Sus scrofa: one gene and its partner. The protein of the gene in region 1 purifies or fractionates together with the protein of each later gene. This does not show direct contact. Links are inferred from orthologs where the notes say so. Each region holds a gene or a part of one and is shown on either strand. Other genes may lie near its edges.

The links.
Region 2: the proteins of PPP3CC (region 1) and RCAN3 purify together in Homo sapiens (affinity purification with mass spectrometry; 3 studies listed by BioGRID and IntAct, counting the BioPlex papers as one, with this or other methods). This does not show direct contact. The link is inferred for Sus scrofa from reciprocal best matches to the Homo sapiens genes PPP3CC and RCAN3.

The regions. Positions count from the first base shown.
Region 1 is NC_010456.5:6,791,782-6,795,595, forward strand, and holds part of PPP3CC (serine/threonine-protein phosphatase 2B catalytic subunit gamma isoform), read left to right. Parts: intron 1-211; coding exon 212-241; intron 242-1,359; coding exon 1,360-1,586; 3' UTR 1,587-3,814. UniProt on the Homo sapiens protein: Calcium-dependent, calmodulin-stimulated protein phosphatase which plays an essential role in the transduction of intracellular Ca(2+)-mediated signals. Dephosphorylates and activates transcription factor NFATC1.
Region 2 is NC_010448.4:82,185,038-82,189,329, forward strand, and holds the start of RCAN3 (calcipressin-3), read left to right. Parts: upstream 1-1,430; 5' UTR 1,431-1,542; intron 1,543-4,292.

The DNA of each region.
Region 1 (3,814 bases):
TAAAAATAATAGAAACTCCACACTTCATACTCCCCGCCCCATTTAGTTTTTTAAGTGATCCTCTCGCTTCTCTAACTAGTTGACTTTTATTGTGGAAGTGAATAGGCCATAAGGTGGGACCTTGGGATATCTGTGCTGGCAGCAGTGCTGTTGGTTTACTCACTCTTTTTCTGTCTTCATTTTTGCATGCCACTGCTCCTGCCTCTTACAGCCACAGTAGAAGCGGTAGAGGCCCGGGAAGGTATGGCCATATTCCTCTGATAGATGTGATCATGTGTCTGTCTACTAGTTTTAAAAAGCTTTGTCAACAGTTGAAATCTTTTATTATTGCATCACCAGAACTGTAACAGTGAGGATAGGAATAGATATCTCCAGGCATGCTCACAAAGTGTTTCCTTCGTGTCGTGTATTTGTATTAATTTAAATGACCCTCTCCACAGCTAAAGGCCTTTCTGGGCCCTATCAGTTTTAATGCAAGGGCTGAAGCTTAAGCAGCTGGTCATGAGGGGTCAAGTGATATCATCTCATAGCCCTTCTGCATCCAAGAGGCATCCATTTGGTTATCAGAGATTCAAGCCATCCGCCTCTTTATCTAATGATTCCAAAGCATATCAAGAGTGGAGACAAAAGTAGATGGGAATTTGATTTGTTTCTGAAGTTTCCCTAAGTCAGTCAAACTAAATTATCTTTGTCTCTATGAAAGCAAATTTAAAGTAACAAATTGTCTATAAATCTGAGGATAAAAACCATTGGACTTCATAAACTGGTGTCATCAATTTAATTGTTCTGTGAGATAAGGTGGTTCACAATGCGAATGCCTTTCCTTGGTGATACAAAAAGTTCAGTCAGAAAGAAAATATCTAGAATTGATCTTTTAGATGGCTTTTAACTTATGTTCAGCTCCTGGTTGTGCAAGATAAAACACTGTCCTTCTAAGCAAACAGATTCGCTCTTTTGTTACTTTTTTGTGTGGTTGATGTGATGTTTGTGTTAGAGTAACTACTCTGCTTGACTTGTTCTACTGTTCTAGTGTTGCCTTTTTTCTCTCTCACTGAGCACGTTTCTGGCCCATAAGAGACGCTTTCAAATGTACTGGGGCTTTTTGTCAGGTTTACTTTTGCTGTGATTAATTGTATTGAGCTTCAGTGAAAATTACTTTGACAGTTTCAGTGGCCCTTTGGGCTTTAAGGAAGCAGTAGCTTCAGCCAAGGCTAATTGAAATCAAATATTGCCCATTCCTTCACCAGACATGTGCTCCACAGCCACCATTCTATGTTTTTCTCTAGGAGGTTCGTATGCTAAGAACTTAGAGTCCCTTTGCTGTCTAATTGAGCTCCTCCTTTTCCTGTTTTTCTGTAGCCATCAGAGGGTTTTCGCTTCAGCACAGGATCCGCAGTTTTGAAGAAGCCCGAGGTCTGGACCGAATTAATGAGCGGATGCCACCCCGCAAAGATAGCCAATACTTTGATGGGCCAGTGAAATTGGTAACCCCTGTCCAAGCAAACGCCGTGCACAGGAACGACAGGGGGAGAAGAGCCAGTAATGACTCGGAGCCCAGCAGTGGTACAGGAGGATCCAAAACTTAAGAACACATTTTACTTATTTATTATTGGGAAACAAAACAAAAACAACTTAAACCTGGAGGTGCATTTATCCTGTAAGAAAGGTGACCGTTTTGTAAATTCTTTTAATTTATGTTGAATATATATAAAAAGTGCATCTGTTTTGTTTTTCCCTTTTCCCCCTGATTTTTAGGAACTGATCCGATTGCCTGATACATATGTGAAGTCTTGTGCTATAAAGGGGACCGTCCCCTAATAAAAGGGCCTTGGAAACCTCCACCCTGGGTTTCTGACTTGAACAACTAGCCAGCCTTTTCTCTTGTTTTTGGATGCTAAAATCTTTCATTTCAGACTAAGCGCTTTTCAAACACAGAAGGGTTTTTTCTTTTTCCTTTCTATAGGGTACCACTGAAGAAGATCTCTTAAATTTCAGTGGCTAGAATTTCTCTTCTTACGGAAAACTTGATTATAGAACTTCTAAGTGAATAACCCAAATGCAGTGATTTTAAAGGGCCAAGGGAAATGTTTTCCATAATAACCCACTTTTCTCTGGACTCAGTTATTCTGACTGTATTCTAGTACACCAAAATAAAAAATAATGAGGGGTTTTCCTAGAATTACTTAAAATTTGTTCATCTAACCATGAGCATGATTGATTGAAACTTCCCTTAGAACTTTGGAGGTTTCTTAAATGTTGCCACATCCTTTTGCTTTTATTTTTGAACCCTGGGTGACTTAGTCCATCTGCAAAGGAAGCAACAGTTCTAAATATTTTATAAATGCCCTGTGTAGAACCTTGAACGGTCAGACCGTTCTGTGTGTATACCCTTCTGTGTTACTGCACCAGCTCCCACATCTATTCTCCTCAGCATCCATCTGTTTTTCTGTGTCAGCATTTTTGAAACCAACTAGGGTAATGGAAACTGACTAGGTTAGAATGGTCCCCTTGCCAACTGGAAGTCTTGCTGAAGGGCATTGGATGAGTGAGGATTTCCTGTCCATTAATTACTGGGATGTTTCTCCATTTCTCAACACTCATTAGGTTGAATTGTGTGTCAGTCTCTGGCAGCCTGTTTTGGAATATGGAAACAATTGTTCAGATACAATATTTGAATAATCTTCCTTTAGTTTTTCAAATCACAATCAACCCCATCGTGGCTCAGTGGTTAACAAACCCGACTAGTATCCATGAGGACTTGGGTTTGATCCCTGGCCTGCTCAGTGGATTAAGGATCTGGCGTTCCTGTGATCTGTGGTGTAGGTCGAAGACACAGCTTGGATCCGGAGTTGCTATGGCTGTGGCATAGGCTGGCACCTGTAGCTCCAAGTCAGCCCCTGGGCTGGGAACTTCCATATGCCATGAGTGTGGCCCTAAAAATACAAGACAAAAAAAAGTGAAGGAAATTTCAGGGATCCTTAGGCTCCCATTTGTGGTTTAGCCTGGTGACAAGTGCCATGTCATAATACTCATTGGTCAGCTTTACATTGAGTGTACATGTCTGGGCGACACCACATCAAAGTGCATACTGTGGGATTAATGTCATTTGGCACAGGTGTCCGGCATTGAGGCAAGTATCTCAGAAAGTAGTAATTTATGTTTGGAGCTTCATGGACACCATTTTCAAAACCGTAATTTCATGAGAAGAATGATTTAGCCCATCTATCTCTGTTTCCTTCTGCCTTGCTAACAATTCCTGATTTGTTTATGACTGAGATCAAAGCATGTGGGGATTAGAATCTGGTGGCATAGTTTGTTCTGTTAATCAAAAAGGTAGGATATTGGGAAGGAGATGGAAGATCTCTTAGCAGTGTGTGAGTAAAACGTTTGAAAGAAAGGAGAAAAAGTCTCAAGCAGTTGTCTTTACTGACCATCATTTCTTTATAACCAAAGAGGAATTCATCACTTGCATATCCTCATACCCCTCCCTCCCCCAAGCCCAGTACAGAAACGGCTGCTGCTTTGGAAATCTCACTAATGTGCAGGTCAGTTCACGGGACAGGTTTGACGGACAGGACTCCCTGATCCCTTTCTCTTTCCATTGAGGCTACTGCTGTACATACACACGCACAAGGAGAAGCCCTGAGCTTCACTCTTAAGGGCTTCACTCAGCAAGGCACATAGTGAAATAGTTATTACAAATCTTTATAAGCAAAAAAATGTTTTAGTGAAAAGGATGATTACTTTGGAAATCACCTTCATTGTCTTTTCAAAATGAAGTAGTACGGTAAAGCAGTTTTCCTTGACAGCCATG
Region 2 (4,292 bases), on another chromosome or scaffold:
GAGCAAAGGGCAACAGAGATGGAAACAGCAGAAACAAGAGAAGCAGTAAACAGGAAGCAAGAGGGGTGATCCACTGGACCTGTCTCTGTGACTGTGCCAGGTCAACTGCTAAAGAGTGACCGTAATGCAACTGCTTCGTTAGTCTAAACCTCACAGACATTAGACGTATTTTACAGACTTAAACCCTTCTTCCTGACCCAGATCCCAGGTACTGAGTGCCTGACAGCACTGACATTGACCTTCAGTTTGCTTCACTTTGCCTCAGAGGGGGCTATGTGTGAGAGATCAGAGCTGATTTTCTTCTAAATGCACACCCTTAAGACAAATTCCTTTCCTGTTCTGTGCCTCTGTTTCCTTGTCCGGGAACTAAGGGGACACAGGCTCCCTTCCAAGCTTGGCTCAGGTACCTTGTAAGAAAAATAATAATAAATTTTCTAAAAAAGAAAAGGAAGCCCCAGTCCTACTACTGTAACTTTGGACAACTCATTGAACAGCTTAGGCCCTTCGTCTTTCTGTTGGTAAAATAGGCATAATTATGCCCTACTGTCTTCCAAGGCTTCTCAGAGAAGCAAGCAAGACCGCCCTGAAACTATTCTGCAAACGGGAAATAAGCATTAGAAATGTAAATATTATTAGCATTGTACAAACGATGAAGAGGAGGGGTGGGTGGAGGCAGCAAAATCCGGTAGTGGTTCAGGACCCAGGATAAGGAATAGCACCCACTCCGATGCAACCTACAGCTCAGCCCCCTAACTAGCTGCCTCTCCTCGGGCAATTAAGCATTTGGGCGCCCTGCTCATCTATAAAAGGAGGATAATGACGTTCGGTTCGCTGGTTGCTGTGAGGTTAAACGAGGTAAATCTTGCAAAGCACGCGGTGCAGTGTACATAGTAGCTGGCCCTCAGTAAACGTTCATATTCCTACTCCTTGCGACGACACAATGGGGCCAGGCAGGAAAAGGAGCTAAGCTATTTCTAGTCATGGCGCAAGACAAGAAGATACCCAAAGGTCCCGTCGTCGGGGGCACCTAAAGAATCCGCCCTACGACAACCGCCCAAGCCCCTCACAAGCCTGTAAAGAGAAAACCCCAGGCTGCGTGCCAAGTGCGCGCGCGCGCGCGAGCGCGGCTAGACCTTCTCCCGCGGCCCCCCCCGCCCCCGCCAGCCCCACGGCGGCACGCGAGAGGCGGGGCCGCTTCCTGCCGGCGTCTGGGCCCCCGCACGCCCCCCGGCGGCCGACCTCGGGCGCCTGCGCTGCGCGGGCTCGCCGGAGGCGGAGGCGGAGGCGGGGCGGAGCCGGGCGGGCGCGGCGCCGGCCGCTTTTCTTGCCTAGACGCCGCTCGCGCCCCCGCCAAGGCGGCAGCTCCCGCCGGCGTCGAGGGCGTGGCGGCGAGGCTGCTGGCGGCCGGCGCGGCACCGACTCTTACCCCGCTGGCGTCCGCTGCGCCTCCCCAGGACCGGACCTTCGTGGCTCCTTGGACACTTTGCAGCGCGTCCGGCCTCTCCCTGCCTTCCTGCCTTCCTGCGCCCGCCATGCGCGCAGGTGAGTCTCCCCTTCGCAGGGTGGGGCCGGCGCCTGCTTCTCCGAGCAGGCTTAGCAGCCGGCACTGGGGAGGGTGGGGGGCATCGCGTGCAGAAAGTTAAAAAAAAAAAAAAAGGAAAGAAAAAAAAAAAAGAAACGGTCCACAGGTGCCCGGGATGGGTGGGCGCTCCTGTGCCCCATACTTCAGAGATGCTGCGCCTTTGCCACCCAGGTTCAGCCCCTCTCGCGTCCAGGGTCTTCTCTGGCAGCTCTGGTGTGGTGTCTTAGAAAACAAACCTAGAAAAATGTTCTCTCTCCCAACACCTGTTTGACTTTTGAAAAGCTGAAGGCCCAACCTGCTCCTGAAAGCAGAAGGGTGCGGTCAGTAAAAAAAAAAAACAAAAAACAAAACAAGGGTGGCCAAAAGTTGGAAGCCCTCCTTTTTTTTCTTGCTCTCCTTTCTCCGTGATGCCCAGGTAACCATCGTATGACTTATTCGATAACTTCTTGAAACTTGTCTGTCTGCTCCGTTTACTGCCTGGACCCATGGAGCAAGAGTGGTCTGTTTTCGGGTTGCCTCGTCCCAGCTTCCGTGCAGAATCAGATCGTCTCCTTCAGGGATTAGGAGTCTAGAGTAGGAAGCAGTTCAGATCCGTGTTGCAGATACAGACTGGGATTGTTAAAAGTGATGTTTCGGTGTAGTGCTCAAAGCCAAAAGTATTCGCTTCCTCTTTTTGAAAGTTACCTAGCACACCACGTTTATTTGAACTTTTAATAGAGGTCTCTGCTTTTCCTGCAAGTCTCTGATGTACCATTTGATGGGAGAAGCGATTTACTTATTTGTAGCTCTGATTACATAGGATTTAAAATGATTAATTTTAAGACTGTTCCATTAGCTCCGGTTCAGCATACTAAATTATAAAAACACAGTATTGAGACTCAGAATATAGATGTTTGTGGTATAACACAAGTTCATGCTTTTTGGTGGGGATTTTATATTGCTTTTCTAGACATAGACTTGATGCAGGTGGATGGTGAAAGGCCTGTAAACTCAGAGGCCCGTCTTTAGCCATGCTGTCAGCGTTATGTTTTAGCACTTGGGAAATCTTTTCTTTGAAGAGATTCCAGTGGTTTTCAGAAACCCAAGATTTTTCCCCACAATGGAATTGTCACATTTGTAAAGCTTTTAAACATGCGCCCATTAAGGGTTATGAATCAGTCTAAATTTTGTATGGTACTAGCCGGTATATGTTGGTTGAAAAATTTGGGTGAAACATCATGAAAAACAGTACGATTTGCAAATCCATTAGGCTGAAGCCTGTAAGACAATGGGAGCTCTGAAGTTCAACATCATTTGTTATTTAGACCCAAATGACCACAGAAGGTGGAGGTCAGACAGTGGATCTCCACTTTTCCTCCAGAATGTAGAGATGATAGTGAAGGGCAATGAATTACCTATGGCAAAACAAATAGCATCAATCTTTATATCTCTACTTCAATTATACTTTTTTTTTTTTTTTTTTTTTGTCTTTTTGCTATTTCTTTGGGCCGCTCCCACGGCATATGGAGGTTCCCAGGCTAGGGGTCGAATCGGAGCTGTAGCCACCGGCCTACACCAGAGCCACAGCAACTCGGGATCCGAGCCGCGTCTGCAACCTACACCACAGCTCACGGCAACGCCAGATCATTAACCCACTGAGCAAGGGCAGAGACCGAACCCGAAACCTCATGGTTCCTAGTCGGATTCGTTAACCACTGCGCCACGACGGGAACTCCCCAATTATACTTTAAAACCTATTGTTTTCATGTGTTCTGACAGTTGGTTTTCGTTATTTCTCTCTCTGCTGACAAGTACTTCACTGAACCTCAATAATTATAATAGGACCAATTCTAGATTATCTGTGAAAAGAGGGAATAGGTCATTGAAACATAGGAGATTCAAAAATCTAATTTTTACCTATTTTGCTTTACGGTTGCACCATTTTTTTTTTTTTTTTCTTTTACCACAGCTACTAAAAAGTCTAAGGTTCTGCCTGTAACTGGTGAATGAGGAGGATGGAGAAGAGAGAGAGGCTGGCTTGCTGCCTATTAGGAACCCCCCACATTGAAAATCCTGAGAGTTGTTTTGTTTTTGTTTTTGTTTTTAAAGAGAAACTTAGTCTAAATTTATAATTTAGAGGTTTGGGGGTTGTGGGATGGAAATCCTGTGAAATTGGATTGTGATGATCATTATACAACTACAGATGTGATAAAATAAATAATAAAATAAAAAAGAAGTTTTGGGGGTTTTGTTTTTGTTTTTCTTTTGGCCACACTCTTGACATGCAGAAGTTCCTGGGCCAGGGATCAAACCTGTGCCACAGGCTTAACCAGAGCCACAGCAGTGACAATGCTAGGTCCTTAACCCACTGAACAGTGAGGGAACTCCTGTAATTTAGGAATTTTTAAAAGGAATTTTTTTTCGGCATTCCCATTATTTCATTAGTGAATTAAATTTTTTTTTTTTTACTGATTTACAATGTTAGTTTCTAGTATACAGCAAAGTGTGTCAGTTATACATATATATTCTTTTTCATATTCTTTTCCATTATGGTGTACTATAGGATACTGATTATATAATTCCCTGTGCCATGCAATAGGACCTTGTTTATCCTTAAAAAGGATTTAGTAGTTCAACAGCATCTGTGAGTATTTTCCTTTTTTTTTTTTTGTTAAATGTAAGAGAACAAACGTAGTATTAAAAGCCAAATGAGTTTTCCACGGTTATTCAG